Linked DNA regions of Canis lupus familiaris. The main gene of each other region encodes a partner of the protein of the gene in region 3 in a complex. Links are inferred from orthologs where the notes say so. Each region holds a gene or a part of one and is shown on either strand. Other genes may lie near its edges.

Region 1 (2,790 bases), about 37 Mb from region 3:
CCCTGGGTGTGCAGGGGATCCCCACCGGGGTGGATCAGGGGGCTTTGGCTGAGCTGGAGGTGGTAGGAAATGGCAAAAATTGACCAGTAGCTGTCATCCTGACCCCTCTTCCCCTGGGGTTGGGCGTGGGTGCTGAGGGGAGCTCACCTTTCCCATTGCCCTCCCCGACGCCTTATAGGTTCATCAATAAGCTCCAGCCAGGCTCCGTGAAGAAGGTCAACGAGTCGACCCAAAATTGGCACCAGGTGAGCCCAGACATCCTTTTTAACTCTTCCCACCCCCACCTCGCGCCCCCTCTGCTACCCCCCCCCCGCCCCGCTAACTTCTGCCTGCCCCCTCCAGCTGGAAAACATCGGCAATTTCATCAAGGCCATCACCAAGTATGGGGTGAAGCCCCATGACATTTTTGAGGCCAACGACCTGTTTGAGAACACCAACCACACCCAGGTGCAGTCCACCCTCCTGGCCCTGGCCAGCATGGTAAGTGTGGCTTGGAGGGGGGTCTGGCGCAGGGGTGCGGGGCTGTGGACAGTCTGAGCTGCGAGTGGGGCCACTTGTGCCCCCCGAGTCCGGTGGAGGTGGCAGGGGGAGAGCAGGTGCCAGGAGGGGACAGTGTGGCCTGGAGGTTCTCTAGTCGAGTCCCTGCTCCCTTCGCCCTCCCCAGGCCAAGACGAAAGGGAACAAGGTGAATGTGGGGGTGAAGTACGCAGAGAAGCAGGAAAGGAAATTTGAGCCCGAGAAGCTAAGAGAAGGACGGAACATCATCGGGCTGCAGGTACTGGCCCCTTCCTCACCTGGGTCCTGCCACTGTGCTGAGCGGGGAGGTCAAGGAGGCCAGGAGGGCACCCAGGTCCCTGCAGGCTTTGGGGCACAGGATATTTGGCTTTAACGCAGATGTATGCTGGGCACCGTGCCTGCCATTTTCGGTACACTAACTTACTTCTCCGACAGCTCTAAGGAGTGGGTGCTGTTATCCTTACACCCTTTACACCGATGAGGAAACAGGTACCCAGAGAAGCTAGGTCAGTTGCCAGGACTGTCTGGGTAATAAGTGGCGGGACTGGGACTTGAACCCTGGAAGTCAGGCCCTGGTGCTCTGAGCCACTTACAGCTCCTGTGACATGCCTTCTCTGGGCCTCAGCTTCTGGAGCCTGAGAGGGGAAGCAGCGCCTCGCTGGAGGGCCGAGCAAGTTTCTGCTGACATGTTATGTCTCATGGCCCGTGGTGAGGCTCTGCAAGCCTTGGGATGATTCTCCTTCTGGCTTCCTAGATGGGCACCAACAAATTTGCCAGCCAGCAGGGCATGACGGCCTATGGCACCCGGCGCCACCTCTATGACCCCAAGCTGGGCACGGACCAACCCCTGGACCAGGCCACCATCAGTCTGCAGATGGGTACCAACAAGGGAGCCAGCCAGGTGTGTGTGGGGACCTTGGGGGGCTGTTGGGGTGCCCCTGCCCTCCACTGTCCCCACAGCCTGACTGATCCACCCTCTACAGGCCGGCATGACTGCACCCGGGACCAAGCGACAGATCTTCGAGCCAGGGCTGGGCATGGAGCATTGTGACACACTCAACGTCAGCCTGCAGATGGGCAGCAACAAGGGGGCCTCACAGCGGGGCATGACAGTGTATGGGCTGCCGCGTCAGGTTTATGACCCCAAGTACTGCCTGACGCCTGAGTACCCAGAGCTGGGCGAGCCTGCCCACAACCACCACCCACACAACTACTATAACTCTGCCTAGGGCCCTGGGCACCCCCCCCCCCCCCGCCTTCCCCCCAGGGAGGCTGGCTGCTGCTCTTGGCAGGGCTGAGCTGGCCCTGCCGACCCCCTCCCCCTGCATGGCGTCCTCCAGCCCCCTGGCACCTGCCTACAGGGTTAGCATTCGGGGGGACAGACTGGGGGGCGTGTGGGGGGGCAGGGGGCCCTCCTCCCTGGAGCGCTGCAGGATCCACCATCGAGCCGGGTGTTCCCAACAGCACCCAAAGGACGCACTGAGCAAAGCTACCCCAGCTGTCCCCCCACTCCCTCACAGGTGGGTACCCCAGGACAAGAGGTCCCCCCCAAGCAGAACCCCCAGAGCCCAGGCTCGGCCTGCCCCCACCCCATTCCCACAGTGGGAGCAAACTGCATGCCCAGAGACCCAGCGGACACACGCGGTTTGGTTTGCAGCGACTGGCATATGTGGATGTGACAGCGGCGTTTGTTAACGCGAGCACTTTCTTTTTCTATTTCACTGGAGCACAATAAATGGCTGTAAAATCATTGTCTCAGGGCTGCTCTGTCCTGGAGCCTGGGTGGCTCTTGCACACGTGCAAACAGCCTTGCTTAGATACACTCCATCTCCCACATGCACATTGTCACAGGCACACACAAAAACTTATGAGATACACATATGGAGCTCACAGCCACCTGGCTGGACCCAGGACAGGAACTCACAAACAAAATCTGCACTCACGCATTACTTTTGTGTATATGGTATGTGCATACTCTGCAGCCTTAGGCACACATACATATTCCCCCTTCAGATATACACATACAATACGCACTCCCACTCAGGACACATCAACACACACCTTTGCACACATACGCAATATCGACACACACATGCTCAGCCCTCATGTGCCTTTCTGAGAAGCCTGTGGGTTGTGAAAAAGAGCCCAAGCACTGGGACAGGCTAGATGGGATCACGGTCCTGCTTCCCACTAGCTGGGTCACCTAGGGCAACTCACCCTCCCTAGGCCTGTTTTCCCCCTCAGGAAAATGAAGACAGGGAGCCTCCAGGGGAC
Region 2 (3,650 bases), on a different chromosome or scaffold from region 3:
GTATTATGAGAACAAAGAAACTGGTTGTTGGACCCTCCTTATGCTCTTCTGTCTACATCAATGTATATTTAACACTTACTCTACTAAAGGTCCACTCTTATTCACACGCAAAAGATATTAGAATAAATAGTTTAGAAAGGTAATGGTAAAACACACATAAAACGACCATCCCCTAATTGATCTGTTTTTTTAAGCTTGGATTTTGGTATCACTATTCGAATGTGGTACTTTCCCCTATAGTTTATTTCAAGGGATCATAGGATGAAACTTCAGCAACTGACATAAACACCATGATGTGCATCACACGAGTATAAACTGGGAAGTCTACTTACACTTGGTATTATAGGAGGTGTCAAGGTGCCTTTTCTTAAGCCTTCCCAATTAAAGCCCTCAAACCATCTAGGAAAGAAAAGAAAAGAAAAAAAAAAGGCAGCTAGTTAAAGGCATCGTATCAGCTAAAACCTTCTCATCGCAACATGGGTGATGGACATGTCTGGAGGAAAGCCGCTAGGCAAACATTTTCTATGAGACAAGAGTGTATTCTATTTCATTGCACATTTTTATGGTTAGGTTTTTAAAAATGTGCATTCCCATAAAATAAGTTAATTATTGAGATATTTAACACCCATTAGAAAATAACTCCTTTCCTCGCAATTTCAGGAAGAATGTCTGTATGACCTTGTTCCTACAGTATCATTATAATTTAATAAGTGTCATGATAGCTTGGCCCCTGAGTCTTATAGGACTTTTTTATTTTAAGGCAGTAGAATCAGGGCATGAAAAGTCAGGCTAGAAAATTACCCTTCTAGTTTTGCACCGATTCAGTGAGCGGCTTCAGTTAATTAACCTTTCCATATCACCGTATTAGGTCTAACTCTGACTTGGCACTTTTTTGATGTGTTCATAGAAGAAAACGTTAAATATGCAGTATTAGGGTCATCATAATCCCTAATAGGATGTCAACACGTTTAATTAAAATAGACTTACGGTACTTGGTGTAGTTTATCTGCAAAAATGAGGACCCAATAACACTAAAGTGTTTCGTTTTGTTTTGTCTTTAGCAAATGCTAGCACCAAATTCTTAAGCAGGTGTTTCAGGGTATTTATAAATAGTTCGATAAATACGTTCTTCTGGTAGGGATGTGCATTTTCTGTGACTGTTATAAACACAGGCTAATTAAAAAAACCTAATTTGGTTTTAGGTTTAGCCTTTGACTCTCCAGTTGACTAAGTAAGGTTTAATATTTAAGATGCTGCTACGGTTTGAGGAAAAAAAAAAAAAAAAACCCACTGTACCCTATATTTCTTTTTTCCCTTTATCATCTAATTAGGAAGTGGTTGGAAAAGTCAATTCCAGTTTTAGTCTGGGAAATGAGGCATGCGATGGTGGGGGTCCTTTGTTTTTGATATCCTGGCAGAGAATAGAATCCCAGAATTAAAAGTACACATTTCCTGTTCATGCCAGAGAGGAGATGTGCCATTAGGGTGAGTTTGGAGAAACTGAATTCAGTGAATTGGTCACTTGGTATGGCTTAGGGTCATGTGACGTCCCTGACACACAAGCAGAAGGGCTTCCGATCAAAGGTCTGGCGTCCCCTTGGATGTTCCAGTAGGTAGGCCGAGTCTACCCATCACACAGCCTGGGGCGCCTGTCCGTGCTTTCTGGACCCTCCAACGGAAAGGGACAAGGAAAGAACACTCACTTGTGCTTCTGAATGTCTTTCACGCCGTTTTTCAAATTCCCTAATCTTTCTGATGGGTTATCCCTGGAAAGACAATAAGAACTGTGAGGAATCTCATCACTTTCGCATTATGAGCCTTTCACAAATCACGAGGTTGAAATGCTTACCTGCAGAGTTTTTTAATTAAGTTAGCAGCATTTTTGGCAATCTTCTTTGGAAATTCTATCATGTCAATCCCCCTCAGTATGATGTTATAGGTTTTCATAGGATCTGGGCCTGAGAAAGGTGGGCTGCGAGAATGAGACGTGAAAAGAGAATCACTTTTTGTCTTCTTTTTTATTTTTTTAAGATTTTATTTATTTATTCATGATAGACATAGAGAGAGGAGGGTGGGCAGAGACCCAGGCAGAGGGAGAAGCAGGCTCCATGCAGGGAGCCCGACGTGGGACTCGATCCCGGGACTCCAGGCCTCACGCCCTGGGCCGAAGGCAAGCGCTGAACCACTGAGCCATGCAAGGGATCCCCACTTTTTGTTTTCTAAATAAGAAATCTTAAATTGTTTATAACCCCACAGACGACATCGGTTCTTATCTGGGGACAACTGTTGGTAGTGGTAACGGAACGATACGAGATTCATAGGAAAACGGCATGGAAACCTTTTCACGTCAATCGCTTAGCAAAACCCCACGGGGTGGGGGGGTCAAGTTTGTGTTCTCCTCTTGTCTTTCTAGTGCAGGGGCCGAACTCCCCTCGCTGTCTTTGGCCATGCAAGATGCTGCTTCTACTTTCTGGCCCTTTCCTTGTAATTGTCAGTTCACTGATTACACCTGAGATGAATTCCAAACTCACTAGAGCGCTCCAAGGACTTCCATGATAAGGATCCATCTCCTGCCAACCCTACCCAGGCCCACTGGGATTGGGACACCATTTCTGGTCATGGAACTGATCCCATGACCTCCACCAACCAACATCAAGTGTAAATTCAAGTATTAGACTAGATTGGTGCATTATTATTATTTTTAAGGATTTTATTTTCTTAATGCAATCTCTGCACCCAACGTGGGGTTTGAACTCACAACTCCGAGGTCAAGAGTTGCACCTGATGATGGAGTGTTTCTGCAGAACAGTCCTCCTCCTGCCCCTTCCTCCCTGGTCATCAGTCCTCAGTAGGTAACCTGACGTGAGGCTTCCTCCTTATTGGGAAGGATGTCATAGCCAGGCCCCCAGGAGCCAGATCCATCCCTGGAGGGTGGCCTTGTGCCAGGGTCAGGGGACACGGAGATGATCAAGACTGCACCTTCCAGCAAAGTGATACAACCTGGACAAATACTTTCTTTGGAAATTATCCTAATTATTCTAATACCGAGTTCATGTCTCTTTGGGGAAACATGGTGCGGATTATTATTTTTGCCCACCACGTTCCTTAATAGCAGTTCAAATTAGTTCCTTTTAAGGAGCAAGGTGCAAACGATGAGTTGCTTACAACAGGGAGGAGCAGAGGTGATTTTCTGAAGGCTGTGATGGTTGTTATTGCCTTGAGGTGTGGTCCCTATTCTCTATGACAAGTACTTTTTAAATGTTTTAATGTGTCATTCATTAGCCAGTCGTCAGTTTTAAATCACTTTAAAAATGTATAAATATACAACTCTAGATCACAGTAGAACTTAAGAATTTTGATGTGATACGAAGTTGAATATTTCATTTATTCTCTTCCACTAGCCTTGCCAGTTTTGATTTCTACTTCACAAAAGATCCACTATGCTGTTCTTCCTCATTTGTAATCAGTTTAACATTTTTCTAAAATTTAGATACATATATTTGAATTTATATTCTCTTAGAGAAAAAAGGATCATTTGTTAAACAGGACTTTTGTGGTTTTTACAAGCGATGTATTTTCAGTCCAAGATAGCCCTGCAGCATACAAAACATAAAATTAGAGGTAAAAATCCTCCAGCACCCCAAAATATT
Region 3 (4,142 bases):
TCAAGTAGAGATAATAAATATGCCCAGGGTTGTTGCAACTCAACAGCGCGATGCATGAAAAGTGCAGGTGGTCTGGGCTCAATAAAATCAGTCTCTCCAATTATCATTATTACTATTGTTGTTACAGCTACTATGTGGCGCAGCAGGCAGTGCCTGCCTGGGATGCTGTGAAGTGTTTTGGCTCGCCACTATGCCCCAGCGCCTGGCACAGTGCCTGGCACCCAGGAGACACTCAGGGAAACGTTTGTGGAACGAATGCCTATCGTGTGAGGAAGGGAGAGCAGCCTGCTGCCTTTGCTTCTTAGCTCAGCCTTTGCCCTTCTTCCCAAGGCCAAACAGCTTGCACGCAGCTCGAGAGCCCAGGCGCTCCCTGGCAGGGGGCAGCAGCCCACCTCCTCCCAGACGCGGCTGTCGGGGCTGCTGGAGGGCGCCCCGCCTGGACGCGCACCGCGGGCGCGAGCGGCTCTCCCCGAAGCCCTGATTTTTCTGGCTGGCGCTTTATTGACTTAAGCATTTTCAGCTCCGGGGAGCAAAGGGGCTGCTAGAAGCGGGGTCAGGACCTAGGTCGCGGTTTGTATTTGTTGCGTGCCTCGCGATCTCCGCGCCCGCGAGTCCCGCACCGCGCGGCTCCCTTATTTGCGCACCTGGGGGGGGGGGGGGGGCTCGCGTTCGTCCACCTCCTGCGGCCCGAGGAAGGGCACCAGCAGCTCGGGGGCTCGCAAGCCGCTTGCCCGTGTCCCCGCCTGCGCGGACCGTCGCTCCCACAGTTAGTTTTCTGTGCAAAAACCCGAGCAGGGCGGAGCAGATTAAATAAAGACAACCTCGCGCCTTTAATCCTTGACCGCAAACACTGGCGTTTCTGTGCCCTGGATTTCTGAAATTCTTGGCTCAGGAACTCGAGGCGCGGGGAGCGGAGGAGGAGGGTGGGTAGCAGCTCGTAAAAACTTCCCAAAGCAGAAACCCGAGCTGCTCCCCGCCCCCCTCTGCCTGAGCTACCTGGATTCCAGGGTAGGGGGCAGCTGGAAGAGGAGCGTCCCCAAGGGCCGGGGCGCCCCCCAGGGGTGGCTTCGAGCCGCCGGCTCCCAGCCCCGCCGGCGCTCCGCCAGCAGCCGGATTCGAAGCCCCGACGCCCCGCAGGACGCCCCTCCCTGTCCCCGCGCGTTTCTATTTAGAGCCCAGCCCGGAGCCCAGGGGATTCTGGGACTCGTAGTCCTTCCCCCTAGCCCCAGGCGCCGCCACGACCCCGGGCTCGGACTACATTGCCCAGGGAGCGTCCCGGCCTATATAAGCAGTCAGGCGCCGCTTCAAAGTGCAGTAACCATGTGGATGTTCTGCTGAAGCGTTTCCTCAAGCTCGCTGGGGTGGGAGGAGAGGAGGAGGTGGTGGTGGAGGAGGAGGAGGCAGAGGGTGGAGAGAGAGAGAGAGAGAGAGAAAGCGCACGCACAGAGGAGGTGTGGGTGTTCCGTTTCCATCCTAACGGAACGAGCTCCCTCTTCGCGGACATGGGATTACCCAGCGGCTGCTAACCCCTCTCCTCGCCCTGCTCCCCCAAACCGGCGTGGCTCCCGGGCACCAAGGTAGCGGCTGGGGCCGGGCAGAGGGCGCGGGGAGTTGGCACTGCCCTCCCCGGGCGCCCAAGTTTTTGCCCCGCTCTCCGGGAGTTCTTGATGGATTTGCATGCACTTGCATGCGTTTGGGGGTTCTTTAGCTGGGGGCATTTTTGGGGTGTTCGTTTGAGGCTGAACAAAAATCCTCGATTCCAGTGACTGGCCTTGAAGGCTACCCATTCTGGACTGGAATGGCATTCCCCCAAGTTGGAAACTGTTGCAGCAGCTGCAGGAAATGGTGTTTTCTTGGTGTGTGTGTGTGTGTGTGTTGGGGGGTGTCATATGTGAGTCCGCTCAAGGAAACAATCTTTTAAAAGTAGCCCTCCCTCGAGCTGCACGGTTGGGAGAAAAATGCATGGCGGGGAGGGCGGGGGGGAGGGAGCAGTGGGGAGGGTTTTTAAAAAACGGAAGACAAGCCGGGGAGCGGTGAGGGATGAAGTGTGGACGGAGCTCACGGCCAGTGAGGATGCGGGCTTCGGAACTTGGCCTAGGCTCTGGGAAACAAGTGCTTTGGGATTTGCACGTTCCAAGTTTTTGCGTGCCTAGTCTCACTTGTCAGTTACATACTGGGAATAAGTAAGCAAAGTTACCTGTAATCTTTGTCCAACTGATCCCTCCAAGCTTTCCTGTCTTGTTTGGGGGAAGGGCAGGGGTGTCTCTCCAGGAAGAAGGCTAAAGAAGGTGGCAGTTTGCAATTTGAAACATTGCTCTTAGTGGCCCGCCTTCCTGGTCTTATACTTAAGTTTTCTTTCTTTCTAAATACTTAGGAGCTGGCTTCGGAGGAGCAGGATTCGCACAGCTGGAGTGTTTTGGCAACAGAGTGCCTGACCTCGGTCAGGTGAGTGTGAAGCCTGAGTGCTGGAGTCAGTAATGACTTTTTGTTTTAAGTGTATTTTATGTCCTCTCTAAAGAGCCATGGAGATTAGGAGCAGAAAAGAAAAGCAAACTCCAAGGCTTAGTGTCCAAAATTTGTCACTGCTTTCTGTGAGAGCTTTAGGGAGCATTTGAGATCCAGAGGGCAGTCCTGCCTAGCTAGCACTTTTGGCCCAGGCTCAGACTTAAAGCAGCCTGAACATTTATGAGAGGAGGGGGGAAAACCCATTAGATGGAGCGATAAAAGAAATGCCCATTGGTGCCTGGCAGTGTGCTGATGATTTAAATTCAGAAGGATGCAGTACATTTCATCTGTCAAGATACGTAAGCAAAAATTAACTGCCTCTTTCAAAAATAGTCACTTTTTTCTTGCTGTAATGTGTGTTTAATCAGAGTAGGTTCGATTGCAAGAAATGAAAGTGGTTGCTGGCAATTTGAAAGAATTAGTACTTTAAAAAGGGAAGTTCTTGAAGTGTGAGAGAGTGGCATCCAGTCCTTGACTTGAAGCTGCCTGAATGTCAAGGAATCTGATGAGTCCCTCTTGTTTGGGTGCTTATTGTGGGATATGAGTTGAGGGTAGCATTTATTTGTAAAGACAAGCAGCTCCTGTCATTCCGCCCCCACCCCCCCCAAATGATCAGACTCTGCACCATAAGAAAGGGAGGTTTTAACAGCTGCATATATATCCCCATTGCTGCAGATTTGGCCGTCACAAGTTTTTTCTTCCAAAAAGGCCAGGAGGAACAGGGTAGACAACAGAATAACATGGTGGAGGACCAGCTCTTTGTAACTTCTTTAACCTTCTAAATATTTAGCTGTTCCCTGGGTTACAATCTTTGGGCTTTTTAAATTAGAAAATAAAAGGCAGACACTTCATTATAGTAGTATAGTGCTTTTGTTTCCTGTTGATAAGATCCGTAGGAGTGCTGGTGGAGTGGGAACCATTTGGATGTGTGGGGTATAGTTCATTCTTGGAATTCTGTTGACTTTCAAGGCTACCTGGGCACTCAAAAGGCCAAGGAAAGGGTTAAGTTCCCCTTTTTTGAGTAAGCTACAGACCAGGAGAAACTGATCCATAGACTCTTCTCCAACTTGTTGCTAAAAATAATACTGACACATTAAATCCTTGTAAGCCTGGTCCAGAGCCAGATATCACAGAAACCGTGAGTCAGGTATAGGTGAAGAAGCTGAGGAGTAGAGAGAATGGGAACACTTGTGTAGTAGCCAGTGCACAGTGGAAGCAAGGAATATAACGCCAGGTTGTGGGACTGTCCTGTGTTCCACAGACACATTTAAGTTGGGAAGAAGTGAAGGGAGAAGCCAGGAAAAATGATAAACTTATTTCGGTTAATGACATAAATCTTACTTATGTCCCACCAGTGGTGAATGGGTAATAATACTTACCTTGACTTAAGGGAAACGATGTGGCTGTAGATGGAGGGATAAGAGTGTGGCTATTTGAGGAGGTATCAGATGTCATACTGATTTTGTTTTAGAAAGTTGTAAAAGCTGTATGCTGAAACCCTGAATGAGGAGAGTAAACGAAATCAAACCACACCACGAGGAACATTGTCTAAGTTCAGCACTGGGTTCATGTCATAACTGAAATCCATCTTGATCATCTACATCAAGGCATCTGAGCAGGTTAAAAGAATCCGGTAT

What was found.
Region 1: ITPR1 (region 3) and CNN1 share a complex: the UniProt entries of both Homo sapiens proteins name them as parts of the cGMP kinase signaling complex. The link is inferred for Canis lupus familiaris from reciprocal best matches to the Homo sapiens genes ITPR1 and CNN1.
Region 2: ITPR1 (region 3) and PRKG1 share a complex: the UniProt entries of both Homo sapiens proteins name them as parts of the cGMP kinase signaling complex. The link is inferred for Canis lupus familiaris from reciprocal best matches to the Homo sapiens genes ITPR1 and PRKG1.

Annotation. Positions count from the first base shown.
Region 1 is NC_049241.1:50,228,082-50,230,871, reverse strand, and holds the end of CNN1 (calponin-1), read left to right. Parts: intron 1-178; coding exon 179-245; intron 246-342; coding exon 343-480; intron 481-664; coding exon 665-775; intron 776-1,270; coding exon 1,271-1,417; intron 1,418-1,499; coding exon 1,500-1,745; 3' UTR 1,746-2,268; downstream 2,269-2,790. UniProt on the Homo sapiens protein: Thin filament-associated protein that is implicated in the regulation and modulation of smooth muscle contraction. It is capable of binding to actin, calmodulin and tropomyosin. The interaction of calponin with actin inhibits the actomyosin Mg-ATPase activity.
Region 2 is NC_049247.1:36,003,176-36,006,825, forward strand, and holds part of PRKG1 (cGMP-dependent protein kinase 1), read right to left. Parts: intron 1,973-3,650; coding exon 1,850-1,972; intron 1,767-1,849; coding exon 1,704-1,766; intron 400-1,703; coding exon 333-399; intron 1-332. UniProt on the Homo sapiens protein: Serine/threonine protein kinase that acts as a key mediator of the nitric oxide (NO)/cGMP signaling pathway. GMP binding activates PRKG1, which phosphorylates serines and threonines on many cellular proteins.
Region 3 is NC_049241.1:13,138,005-13,142,146, reverse strand, and holds the start of ITPR1 (inositol 1,4,5-trisphosphate receptor type 1), read left to right. Parts: upstream 1-1,330; 5' UTR 1,331-1,577; intron 1,578-2,119; exon of another isoform or gene 2,120-2,183; intron 2,184-2,374; 5' UTR 2,375-2,445; intron 2,446-4,142. UniProt on the Homo sapiens protein: Inositol 1,4,5-trisphosphate-gated calcium channel that, upon inositol 1,4,5-trisphosphate binding, mediates calcium release from the endoplasmic reticulum (ER).